Linked DNA regions of Kluyveromyces lactis. The protein of the gene in region 1 purifies or fractionates together with the protein of each later gene. This does not show direct contact. Links are inferred from orthologs where the notes say so. Each region holds a gene or a part of one and is shown in the gene's direction. Other genes may lie near its edges. The genes, in order: RSC9, ARP7 and STH1.

Region 1 (3,753 bases):
ATTCTTCAAGTGAAGTGTCTGCATCCTTTTTAGCAGAGTCACCAGTGTCCTTCAAATATTGAATAATGTCTTGACTAGACCAATTTTCAAATAGATTGTTGCAAATAACTACTTGGCAAGCAGCTGCACAAAATATCAAAGCACTACTAAGCTTCATCCTGCGTATTAATATTGTTATTCTGTGTAATAAGCTATGTCAATAAATCTTATTAATAACAGACACTTTAAATGATATCCTATACAAATATACCTAAGCCTAAAAATGCCAGTTGTTAAGCAAGAGAAAGTGTTCCACGTTTGTTGATATATATATATATATATATATATATATAGAATGGGAATTGCCAGAACAAACTTCTAGTTGACAGTGACAATGCATCACACTAAGTTGTAAAAATCGATGGCCACACTTAGTTCCAAATAATAGCTCTACACACTTATAATAAGGGGTAGGGTGACATGGATATACTCACGCATGGTCTAGCCAAGCTCACAATAGCGTCAGTTATGATGTTCGCTAACCCGTTACCTTTTTCCCTTATTTTTTGGATTCTAAAGACGTCTTTTTGCTAATGTTAAAGAAATGACTTTTGCGGTTTGCTAATGGCAGCAAGAAACGATGCAAAAGGACGACTGTGTCTTAAAATTGCAGATGGCAATGCCACCATTTGTATTGTGCCTTAAGGTAAAAATTCTTCCGGACGCCGTGATGTGTGGAATTTGCTTTGATGTATGTATGAGTAAGTAATCAGATCAGATCACTGAGAGTGATAACTCTGGGGGAGTTAGGGTCTAGGAAACTAATTAGGTAATTAGAATGTGTTTGAATCAGGGCAGAAATGGAAAAGAAGGAAGAGAATCAATGGGTCGTTTGAGTCGATTTGATGTTGAGATTACACTGAATCATCGGTTGATGATCCGTTCCTTAGCGTGGAATTACCACTTTTCGGTCACATGATCAACGTCAATTGCCAGGGAGGTGAATTTAAACTCGTTGTTCCCATAACCATTTGAAAAGGACTTAGGCTGTCACAGAGGGGATAGTCAGTGTTCATAAAGAGGATAAACCTAACTGTCAGAACTATGATTAGAATCACTAAGCAACAGCATATAGTCTTTAATCTGTCCTTGTTACTATGTACGGAGAGCATTTATGTAATCATTTACCCGGATATAAGCCGTATTATTGAACTCGAAATTCAACAACATGCAAAACAACGAAAGATTCGAGATGGACTTCTTAATATGTACAATGACAGAAAAGGAAAACGCGACTAATTAGATGGAGCTTACTTTCTTTGTACCTATATCGGCGATCTAGATACCTTAAACACACCTTCTTTCGGAGACTCGCTTTTTTCTAGTTTTGTGTGATACCTAGTGCTTCACAAATCAATAGATGTCCAGCCATTCAGTCACTCCGGTGATCAATGCTGAAGGAGAAACAGCGATTCCAAGCTTGAAGACATTGCCCGCAACACAATTAAATATTAGCAGAGACCAGACCAATGGTATTACCGCTAAGCCTGTTGCTGGGTTGCAACAATCATTAGGCAGTTTGCCTATCTTCAATCATTTGCCTGTAAACTCTAAGATTGGTGTTGATGATCTCACCCGTATGAAGATGGCATTGTTAAGTGGAATAGACGAAGAAGTTAAATTTGCATTGAAAAGATATTTACGGTATAGCATTAACGCTTCTTATGTTATCAAATTGAATGAGAATTTGGATTTGTTGCCCATTATTATGCCCTTGATTACAGCATGCAGAGAATACATTCCACAGCTTGTTGGCCCAATTTCCAATCAGGCTTTTGAAGCCCTACAAAAAGGTTCAATTACAATGCTTCTTTTGAGAAATTTGGCACAGGACTCGGAAAACACTTCGATATTAGCCACCGATATGGAATTGAAATCGTTCATATTGTTCGTGTTGGAGTGGGCAAATACGTTCAATTCGAAGGATTCGGCAATCTATCAGTCACATACATCCAGTTTCAACGAATTGTTAATCTATACTCTTGATTTAATGGAGGCGATTTCATCTTATATTGCACCAGCAAAAAAAGACGATCTATATTTCCAAAACCTCTGTTTGATATTTCGTGATACAAAGGATAGATACTGCGTGATCTCAATTTTGAGATCATTATCTAGACTCTTGGTGAGATCTAAATCGGACCAAAAGAGTGCAGCAGATAATTTGGATGATAGTTTGTTGAACAAGATTGTTCATAACCTTTTAATTGATAGGGATGAAGAGTTAATAATTGCTTCATTAGATTTCCTTTATCAATATATATTACCTGGTCATCAGAGAATAAAGACATTACTATCACATAAGGAAAGATATGATATCCTAGTTAGTACTCTCCCTGTTCTCCTCACGTATCATGTATCAACCCCTGATTATCATGCCCTTTCGAATACTAATATCAAACTTATACAGAGGGTAAAACCTCAACCACCAGCACACGCGCCTGAATTGCCAATGCCACTGCTCAAGGAATTATTTGAGCTAAACGAACCAATGCGTGCCACTTCCTGGTTGAGATGCTGCTTTGAGAGATCTCTGAATGGCGAAGTAACACAGATTCTTCTATGGAAAACTTATGAACAAACATTCAGCGAACAAGTAAAACTAACAGATCGAAAATTGATAACTGCCGTTGATTTCATTAAAAATGTTTCGAATGCTTTGCCCGGTGCATCCGCTTTGGTAGTTGTAGATGAAGCAACGTCGAAGAAAAAATTTGTAATAAGAGGTATACAGCCTCGCAGAAAAGCTCTTTCAATCGTAGAGGCAAATAAAGATATTGACCAGTCCTCGCCTATACAGACTGAAACCCCGGATGAATTTGAAAGCAACAATACTCCATCGGAAGCAGTTCAAATTTGTTTGCCAGATATTGTTTTCCCCGAGAATCTTTCTGATGTATCTAAAGCAAGTGCGTCATTCCTTTCACTTGTTTCTAACGATAGTACCGAGATCGTGGCACAATTTATTCATGATATGAAACCTTTGATATTACATCAAATTGCTGACGTGCCACCTTTAAATACTGTTCTTTTGGACTTCATACATTCAGGTTGAACTTACCGTTAGGCCGATAGAGTAATTAAAGTTGTAGTTTTGTAATAATTAAATGTATAACGTATCGATTAAAGGTAAAAATTAAACAACGGGAGACCTAACTAATGTATAAAATTGAATTAAAAATGGTGAAACAAAATAAAAAATAGATGATAGCAATTCTGACAATATCAGAATTTTGTATCGAATGGATCAGCGTAAACCCATTTTTGTCATAATAATCGTAAAACTCATCAAATAATAAATAAATAAAACTTTCTTCATGAGACAGATTGTTCATGGAAAGTATGATAGAAGTATAGTAAGAATAAGGTAACATCAGCAGAAAGTTGTTTAGTGCATGGAAGAATCTATAATATCTTTGAAACTCTCCACTTTAGAATGATGATCAGATAAGCCTTCAGATTTGTAAATGGCAGAAATGGAATCTAAAAGTACCATTAGCGAGGTCTTGCTAACGTTAAAAGAACCATTATCATTGAAGTTTATAACCTTTACAGCGTTGTTCAAACATACTGATTCGACGATGTTGTTGAACAAATTGTCAACCAAAATTGGGTTAATTTTTTGCCATATATTGAGCAACTGCAACATTTGGTCTTCGGTGAAAGTTATTGTTTTAAGATAACCCCTGAATCTCATGTAGTTTTCGAGTTTGG
Region 2 (3,350 bases), on another chromosome or scaffold:
CTGTCTTTGTTCTCATTGGTTTGTTTGAATGTGTAATTGCTGCTCTATCTTTTGTTATAATAATATCTAATTCTTTGAAGCTGAAAATTTCAAGGTTTTGGCAGTTTCTGAAAATTGATTGGCTGAGTGATACTCCAATTAACAATCAAGAATGGAGGTTAGAATTCATGCTAACCACACATACATACACCATTACATAGCACCTGAGTCTCATCTAAGACATTGGGACAATTCGGTTGGACTGGAAATCTGTAAACGATTCAATCCTTTGCTTCTACGAGTAGTTTGACGCAAGTTTTATTGATTAAACTGATTCTATGATCGTTGATCTGACGGATGAAAAGAAAAAGAGGCCTCTCAAAAATTAAGGGTAAGTAATTGAAAATACTTTAGGAAGAGAGAATACATAATGTTACAAAGTGATTAATTATCACGAGCATTTAAAGAGTGCTTCAAGAGAAATAGATGCGGGGTAAAATAATACCGTTTTTCTTCCCCCTCCCTTAGTTTCTCTTGTCTCTTGTCTCTTGTCTCTTGTGTCCGGTGTCCTGGACCTGGATATGTCTCAGTGAAGAGGGCAAACAGATAAGCTTCCTGTTCAATCATTGGACTTCGTTTGTTCTTGATGATTGGAAGCAGCCAATTGTTTTGCAAAAAGGTACGAACTTAATGAAAAAATGCGATCATTATCGTCCAATGGCTGGGCATTTGACGAATGTGAGTGGTCAGACAATATCTGCTGCGCAGAACTGCTCTTGTTGAAACCCTGAAACCCGAGCAGAATGTTCCCCATTCTGGAAGATGGTTTCTGTGATAGATACTCTGTTTCTTTATCGTATACCTCTTGCTCTAAACTATTCCACTTGGCTTCGAGTTGTTTCTTCTGTACTAAAGCATCTCGAAGCTTCTTCTTTAGTTTCTCGTATTCTTTCTTTTGTTCGTCCATAGTTGTGTGAGATGAGTGTTAGGTTATGTTAAATCACTTTACCGATAGAGTAGAACACAATCAAAACCAGATTCAAATCCGTTCGATAGCGGATCGTCTGTTTCATCCTTTCTTGTTATTATATATGCAAATTGGATGTTGAAGTAGTGCGTTCTTTCAAACAATATTAACATTGGCGACGAGTCCGGGTAACAGTACTGGAACTCAGTTTGGAATTTGAAATTCGAAGAACCGACGAAAAAAAAGCCAACATGTAAACATCAACATAAACAGTGTTATCAACTCTAGTATCCCGTTTAAGAGCCATAATTTTCCATTGATAGCAGTTATAATCGGCAAAAACAGGTAGCTGTTGAAGAAGTTAATCCTTATCTGCTTTTGAAAATTGAAGATCTTCTCTTTGTTCTGGTGCATATAGAGTGATTACGTTATATCTATTGCAAGTTCAAGATGCCGACCATGAAGAGTGTGGTGATACAGATCTCGCAGACTAGGGTTATTTGTGGGTTCAGCAACCAAGATTTGCCGCAGTTAATTGTACCATCTCAATATTTGGCCTATAAAAGAGATGGATCGGATGTTAAAGTTTTCGGTAAATGGGAAATGATAGAGCATTGCGACGATGAGAGCGCTGAAATATACCAATTGTACGATAAGAACGGACTTCCAAATGATTGGGATATGATGGATGCTCAATGGCAGTACATCTTTCAAAGCCTAGGCATACAGTTCGAAGACTATCCAGTATGTGTTGTCTTACCTTCCGACTTAAACAGTGCGCGTCGTAAGAGATTTATGGAACAACTGTTGGGGTACGGTTTTCCAATGGTCCAACTTTTGAATGAGGCTGTCTGCAACACGTTGAGTCAGGGAAGATCGAGTGGAATTGTGGTGGACATTGGCCACAGTGGAGTGAAAGTGGACGTTGTCATTGATGGTGTTCTTTTCAAACAATACCGCAAGGAGAACAAGATCGGTGGTGCATTCTTAAACTGGCAGATCTGCGATCAATATTTGAAGCAGGATTCGGGCAAATCAACGAAAATCTGGAGGGATGCCACTGAATGGCTACCCAACTTCAAGAATAGCATGCTGCAAGTTTCTCCGATTGAATTGGATGCTAATTATGACGTGGCTCCTCATTACCAACATATGGTGTCACCAATGGACTTGACCAAAAATTTCCTACTCGATAAGAAAACTCTCACCTTCACTAACAAACAGCTATACACCATTGGAGAACTCTTGTTCAAGCCAGTGATACACGTAAGTAACAATGCAAACGGAGATGTAGAAATGGCAGATGTCAATGACATAGAGAAAAAGCCACATCCGGAGAAATTAATTGGGGTCATTGGATTGATCAGAGCATGCATCCAAAGTTTATTAAATGGTGTCAATGCAATGTCCACCGCAGGCAGTAACACTACAGGGTCCTCCACTACGACGGGTAATGCTTCCTCGGGCAACCAAAGCAACAACAACGAGGATACGAACATCCCAACGCACAGCTACACTTCTGAACAACTACAAAGTCTACTGCTTACGAACATTCTAGTGACAGGAAGTACCTCGAACATTCAGGGTTTAGAGCAAAGAATATTGAATGACGTTTCAGTCTCCCTAAACGATCTAACCACAGTGAGGCCTAAGATCCTTTTCAAACAGACCAAATTAGACAGAAACTTCCAATCATGGCAATCTGCAACAACCTTATGCAGACTACCGTTGCGCGAATCGTTACATGCGTGGGAATCTATCGAATGAATGGCGATATCCACCTGCCCTACCTCTCACTCAACTGGCAGTATAAAAATATAATAATGTACGTACCGGATAATCTTCAAACCCAAGAAAACTTAAACCAAATAGTATTAATCCACGTGACCGGATCTGGAATAGTAATTGCGAAGAAGGATAATTTAGAGGCGCTGATCCTTTTCAAGAAAAGGTACCAAAATAGTAAGACAATACCCTAAAAGAAGGCATCCATTCTCTTTCAACAAGCATTTTCGCGTATAAAATGATAGAAAAAGACGCGTTCCGGGAAGATTTGACTCACTCCGAAAAGAAACGTAGTACGTTTCTTTTTTAGAATTTCCTCCTGGAAAAACAAAGGGACACCAGAAAACTCCGTAGAGACGTGGAATAATTATCTAATTATTCAAACACATGTACGCATTTAGATTAGGTATTATCAAGAATCTTCCTTTGAATTGCTAGGATAACGTAAACAGTGTGACATGGAGGGGAGGCTTATCAGAAGGTAAACACAATGTCCCTGATGACCCTTGGGTCATCAGGGACATCTTATCAACAGCAATAACAGGGACTTGTCAAGGATGTCAACAGTGAAATGTAAGGCATTTGTGATTGTCCCTGCAACCCGGTGTTTTCAAATGGG
Region 3 (3,745 bases), on another chromosome or scaffold:
TTGATCCGGTATACATCCTTTTCTTGTACCTCTACTCTTTTCTTCAAGTTCCTATCTATTAGTTGTGCTTTCGAGCCTTTGTCTCGGCTTGTTTTCTTTCTTTCTGCATTAACCGACGCAGAACCCGGCAGTACGCTTTGCAACAATGCGTTCACAGCGTTGGTAGCATGAGCAGCTGCAAGAGATGACATTATAATCAGAGAATTTTAGTTCTTCAAACCTTGATTGTCAATACAGAAGACACTTTTGTAACAGTTCGAAGCACTGTAACTATCTCAATCGGGGAACTTGATAGTTCACTCTCATCACATCTCATCTAATCTCATCTCATCTCATCCATGGCGTATTATCCAAATTTTCATTTTAGGTCATGAAATATTAAACAAGAAAAGAAACAATGGTGCCCACTTTAATGCGAATATTTTGGCACGTGATCGAAGTTGGTTTATTACCCGGTTCTTGTTGTTGTTACCCGTACTTTGGCCCATGGCAATAGTGAATGTCAAAGAAAAAAGTAAACACGATAAATAAAATTGTGAAAAAGAGGATGAATTTGAAAACAGTTTGATTTTATTCTGAATTTAGTTTTGACACGAGAAAAGGACGAACAGAGGTTTGTTTTCAACACGGCAACGGCGGCTAAAAAAATAGACGCACCGAAAGCGAAACAGTAAAGAATTCTAGGGCAATAGTACCTGTTTGTATCGCGTTAGCTTTGTGACAACTCTGAATTTTTTTAGCAGGACTTCAGTTATTGTTTTACCCCCTTTCAGAATAAAAAAGGTTTAAAGCTCACTAGCGGGAAGAGACCTGGATCACGTTAAGAAGTGTGAAATAAAACAACAATGGATCAAGTCGTCGTAACGAATAACGCGGATACAGCGCCTCCTTATCCGCTTCCTATAGTGAATTCTGAGAATGTTGATAATGGGAATTCCGAAACTGAAAACCAGGACGTTAACGGCAATATCGAAGACAACCATGTTGGTGCTGACAAAGGAAGCAACAACAATTTTCGGAACGACAGTGGTAGTGCTATTGGACAGAACCAGATTGCCGCTGTTCTAGAAGAAATGAAGAAGGTGGAAAGAGTAATCTTGCCACTACCTGAAACGAAAGAACAATTAGAAAATTTGATTTATCGTTACAGATACATTTCTCAATATAGAGATCATAATAAGCTTGAAGTTGAGGCTATTGAACAAATTTTCACCCAAATCTCGGATAAACAGGAAGAGTACAAGGAAAGGCTGCTGAGGTTAAGAGAAAACGCAGCCAAAGATATTCAGTGGGACGAAAAGTTGTTGAAGGAGCAAATGGTAAGCTTACAGCTTTTGAGTAAAGATATAAATATACCGGATGGCCTCTTAGAGGATGATGATGATGAATCAGTAAGTTCCGACAGTTCTGATATCTCGGTACAACTGGAGAAGGTTAAACTTTCTGTTGATTTCGACGAAACAAGTGTGCGCTTAGGCCTTCCCGAAGCTTTAAGCAACTTTCGTCTTAAATCTGGAAATGAAGCCTCGCTTGGAGATTGGGAGGTTGAAAAAATAATCTCCACACTCATTGCGAAAAGAATTAAACAACTTGAAAATCTACCCTCTAATTTGGGAACATATTCTTTAAATGATGCGCTTGATTTTGTAACTAAAGATGATATTCCTACCGGCGCAGACGACTTCAAGTTAAGAGCTTTGGTGGAGCTCAAGTCCTTGAAAATGCTAACGAAACAGAAATCTTTGAGAAAGAGGCTGATTGAAAGTGTTGCAGCTAAATCGCATAATATCATTCCATCTCTCCGTGACTCTCCTTATACTTTAGCAGCTCAAAGATCCATTCATGTTAGACCGAAGACCATCGTTCCACAAACTGCTAGATTAGCAGAAGAACTTGAAAGGCAGGAATTGGTAGAAAGCAGGAGAAGAGAAAGAAACTTACGGTTACAAAGGATCAATAATATTGTATCAAGTATCAACGAAAGATTGGAGAATGATACAACACAACGTGATCGCTGTTATCAAATGGGTAGATCTATCGGAAACTTGCATGGTCATTTGGAGAAAGATGAGCAGAGAAGAATGGAAAGAACTGCCAAGCAACGTTTAGCAGCCTTGAAGTCCAATGATGAAGAAGCATATTTGAAATTGTTAGACCAAACCAAAGATACAAGAATTACACATCTATTGAAACAAACTAATTCTTTCTTGGATTCTCTTGCTCAAGCGGTTAGAGTGCAGCAAAATGAGGTACGCATCAAAAGGGGTGAAGAAATTCCTCCAATCACGGATGAAGAAAGAGAAAAAATTGATTATTACGAGGTTTCCCACAGAATTAAGGAAACAGTAGACAAACAGCCAAGCATATTGGTTGGAGGCACGTTGAAAGAGTATCAACTAAAGGGTTTAGAGTGGATGGTGTCTCTATACAATAATCATCTTAACGGTATTCTCGCAGATGAAATGGGTCTAGGTAAAACAATTCAATCCATCTCGTTGATCAGTTATCTTTATGAAATAAAGAACGAGAGGCAACCATTTTTGGTGATTGTCCCTTTATCCACCATCACGAACTGGACTATAGAATTCGAAAAATGGGCACCTTCTCTAAGAACCATTGTGTACAAAGGGAACCCAAACCAACGTAAGGCTTTGCAACATACAATCAAAATGGGAAATTTCGACGTGGTTCTAACTACTTATGAGTACATTATAAAGGATCGTCCACTGTTGGCCAAACACGATTGGGCTCATATGATTATCGATGAAGGTCATAGAATGAAAAACGCTCAATCAAAACTATCTTACACGTTGACACATTACTACAAAACAAAAAATAGGCTAATTTTAACGGGTACTCCATTGCAAAATAATCTACCAGAATTGTGGGCTCTATTAAATTTTGTTTTACCTAAGATCTTTAATTCCTCAAAAACATTTGACGAATGGTTTAATACACCATTCGCGAACACAGGTACTCAAGAAAAGCTAGAAATGACAGAAGAAGAAACGCTTCTAGTTATTAGAAGATTGCACAAAGTTTTACGTCCATTTTTGTTACGTCGTTTGAAGAAGGAAGTCGAAAAAGATTTACCTGACAAAGTTGAGAAGGTTGTGAAATGTAAGCTATCAAGTCTCCAGCAGCAACTATACGAACAAATGTTAAAACATAATGCTTTCTTTATTGGTGCAGGAACAGAAGGTGCAACCAAGGCTGGTATCAAAGGTTTGAACAACAAGGTCATGCAGTTAAGGAAGATATGTAATCATCCATTCGTTTTCGATGAGGTTGAAAATGTTATCAACCCAACGAGAGAGAACAGCTCCATTTTGTATCGTGTTAGTGGTAAATTTGAACTTCTAGACCGAGTTCTTCCAAAATTTAAAGCGTCAGGTCATAGAGTATTGATGTTTTTCCAGATGACTCAAGTTATGGATATCATGGAAGATTTCTTAAGGATGCGAGACCTTAAATATATGAGATTGGATGGTGGTACCAAAGCAGAGGATAGAACTGGAATGTTAAAACTGTTTAATGCACCCGATTCTGAGTACTTCTGCTTTTTACTTTCTACCAGAGCTGGTGGGTTAGGTCTAAATTTGCAGACTGCTGATACGGTCATTATTTTCGATACTGATTGGAATCCTCATCAGGATTTACAAGCCCAAGATAGAGCTCACAGAATTGGGCAGAAGAACGAAGTTCGTATTTTGAGATTAATAACAACCGATTCCGTCGAAGAAGT

The links.
Region 2: the proteins of RSC9 (region 1) and ARP7 purify together in Saccharomyces cerevisiae (affinity purification with mass spectrometry; 5 studies listed by BioGRID). This does not show direct contact. The link is inferred for Kluyveromyces lactis from reciprocal best matches to the Saccharomyces cerevisiae genes RSC9 and ARP7.
Region 3: the proteins of RSC9 (region 1) and STH1 purify together in Saccharomyces cerevisiae (affinity purification with mass spectrometry; 7 studies listed by BioGRID, with this or other methods). This does not show direct contact. The link is inferred for Kluyveromyces lactis from reciprocal best matches to the Saccharomyces cerevisiae genes RSC9 and STH1.

The regions. Positions count from the first base shown.
Region 1 is NC_006040.1:880,750-884,502, forward strand, and holds RSC9 (Rsc9p), read left to right. Parts: upstream 1-1,399; coding exon 1,400-3,094; downstream 3,095-3,753. Other genes in the region: double-strand break repair enhancer MSC1, read right to left, coding at 1-157; RPM2 (ribonuclease P), read right to left, coding at 3,428-3,753.
Region 2 is NC_006041.1:566,672-570,021, reverse strand, and holds ARP7 (Arp7p), read left to right. Parts: upstream 1-1,396; coding exon 1,397-2,713; downstream 2,714-3,350. Other genes in the region: EAF6 (Eaf6p), read right to left, coding at 599-946. UniProt on the Saccharomyces cerevisiae protein: Component of the chromatin structure remodeling complex (RSC), which is involved in transcription regulation and nucleosome positioning. RSC is responsible for the transfer of a histone octamer from a nucleosome core particle to naked DNA.
Region 3 is NC_006042.1:436,784-440,528, reverse strand, and holds the start of STH1 (RSC chromatin remodeling complex ATPase subunit STH1), read left to right. Parts: upstream 1-845; coding exon 846-3,745. Other genes in the region: RRT14 (Rrt14p), read right to left, coding at 1-191. UniProt on the Saccharomyces cerevisiae protein: Catalytic component of the chromatin structure-remodeling complex (RSC), which is involved in transcription regulation and nucleosome positioning. RSC is responsible for the transfer of a histone octamer from a nucleosome core particle to naked DNA.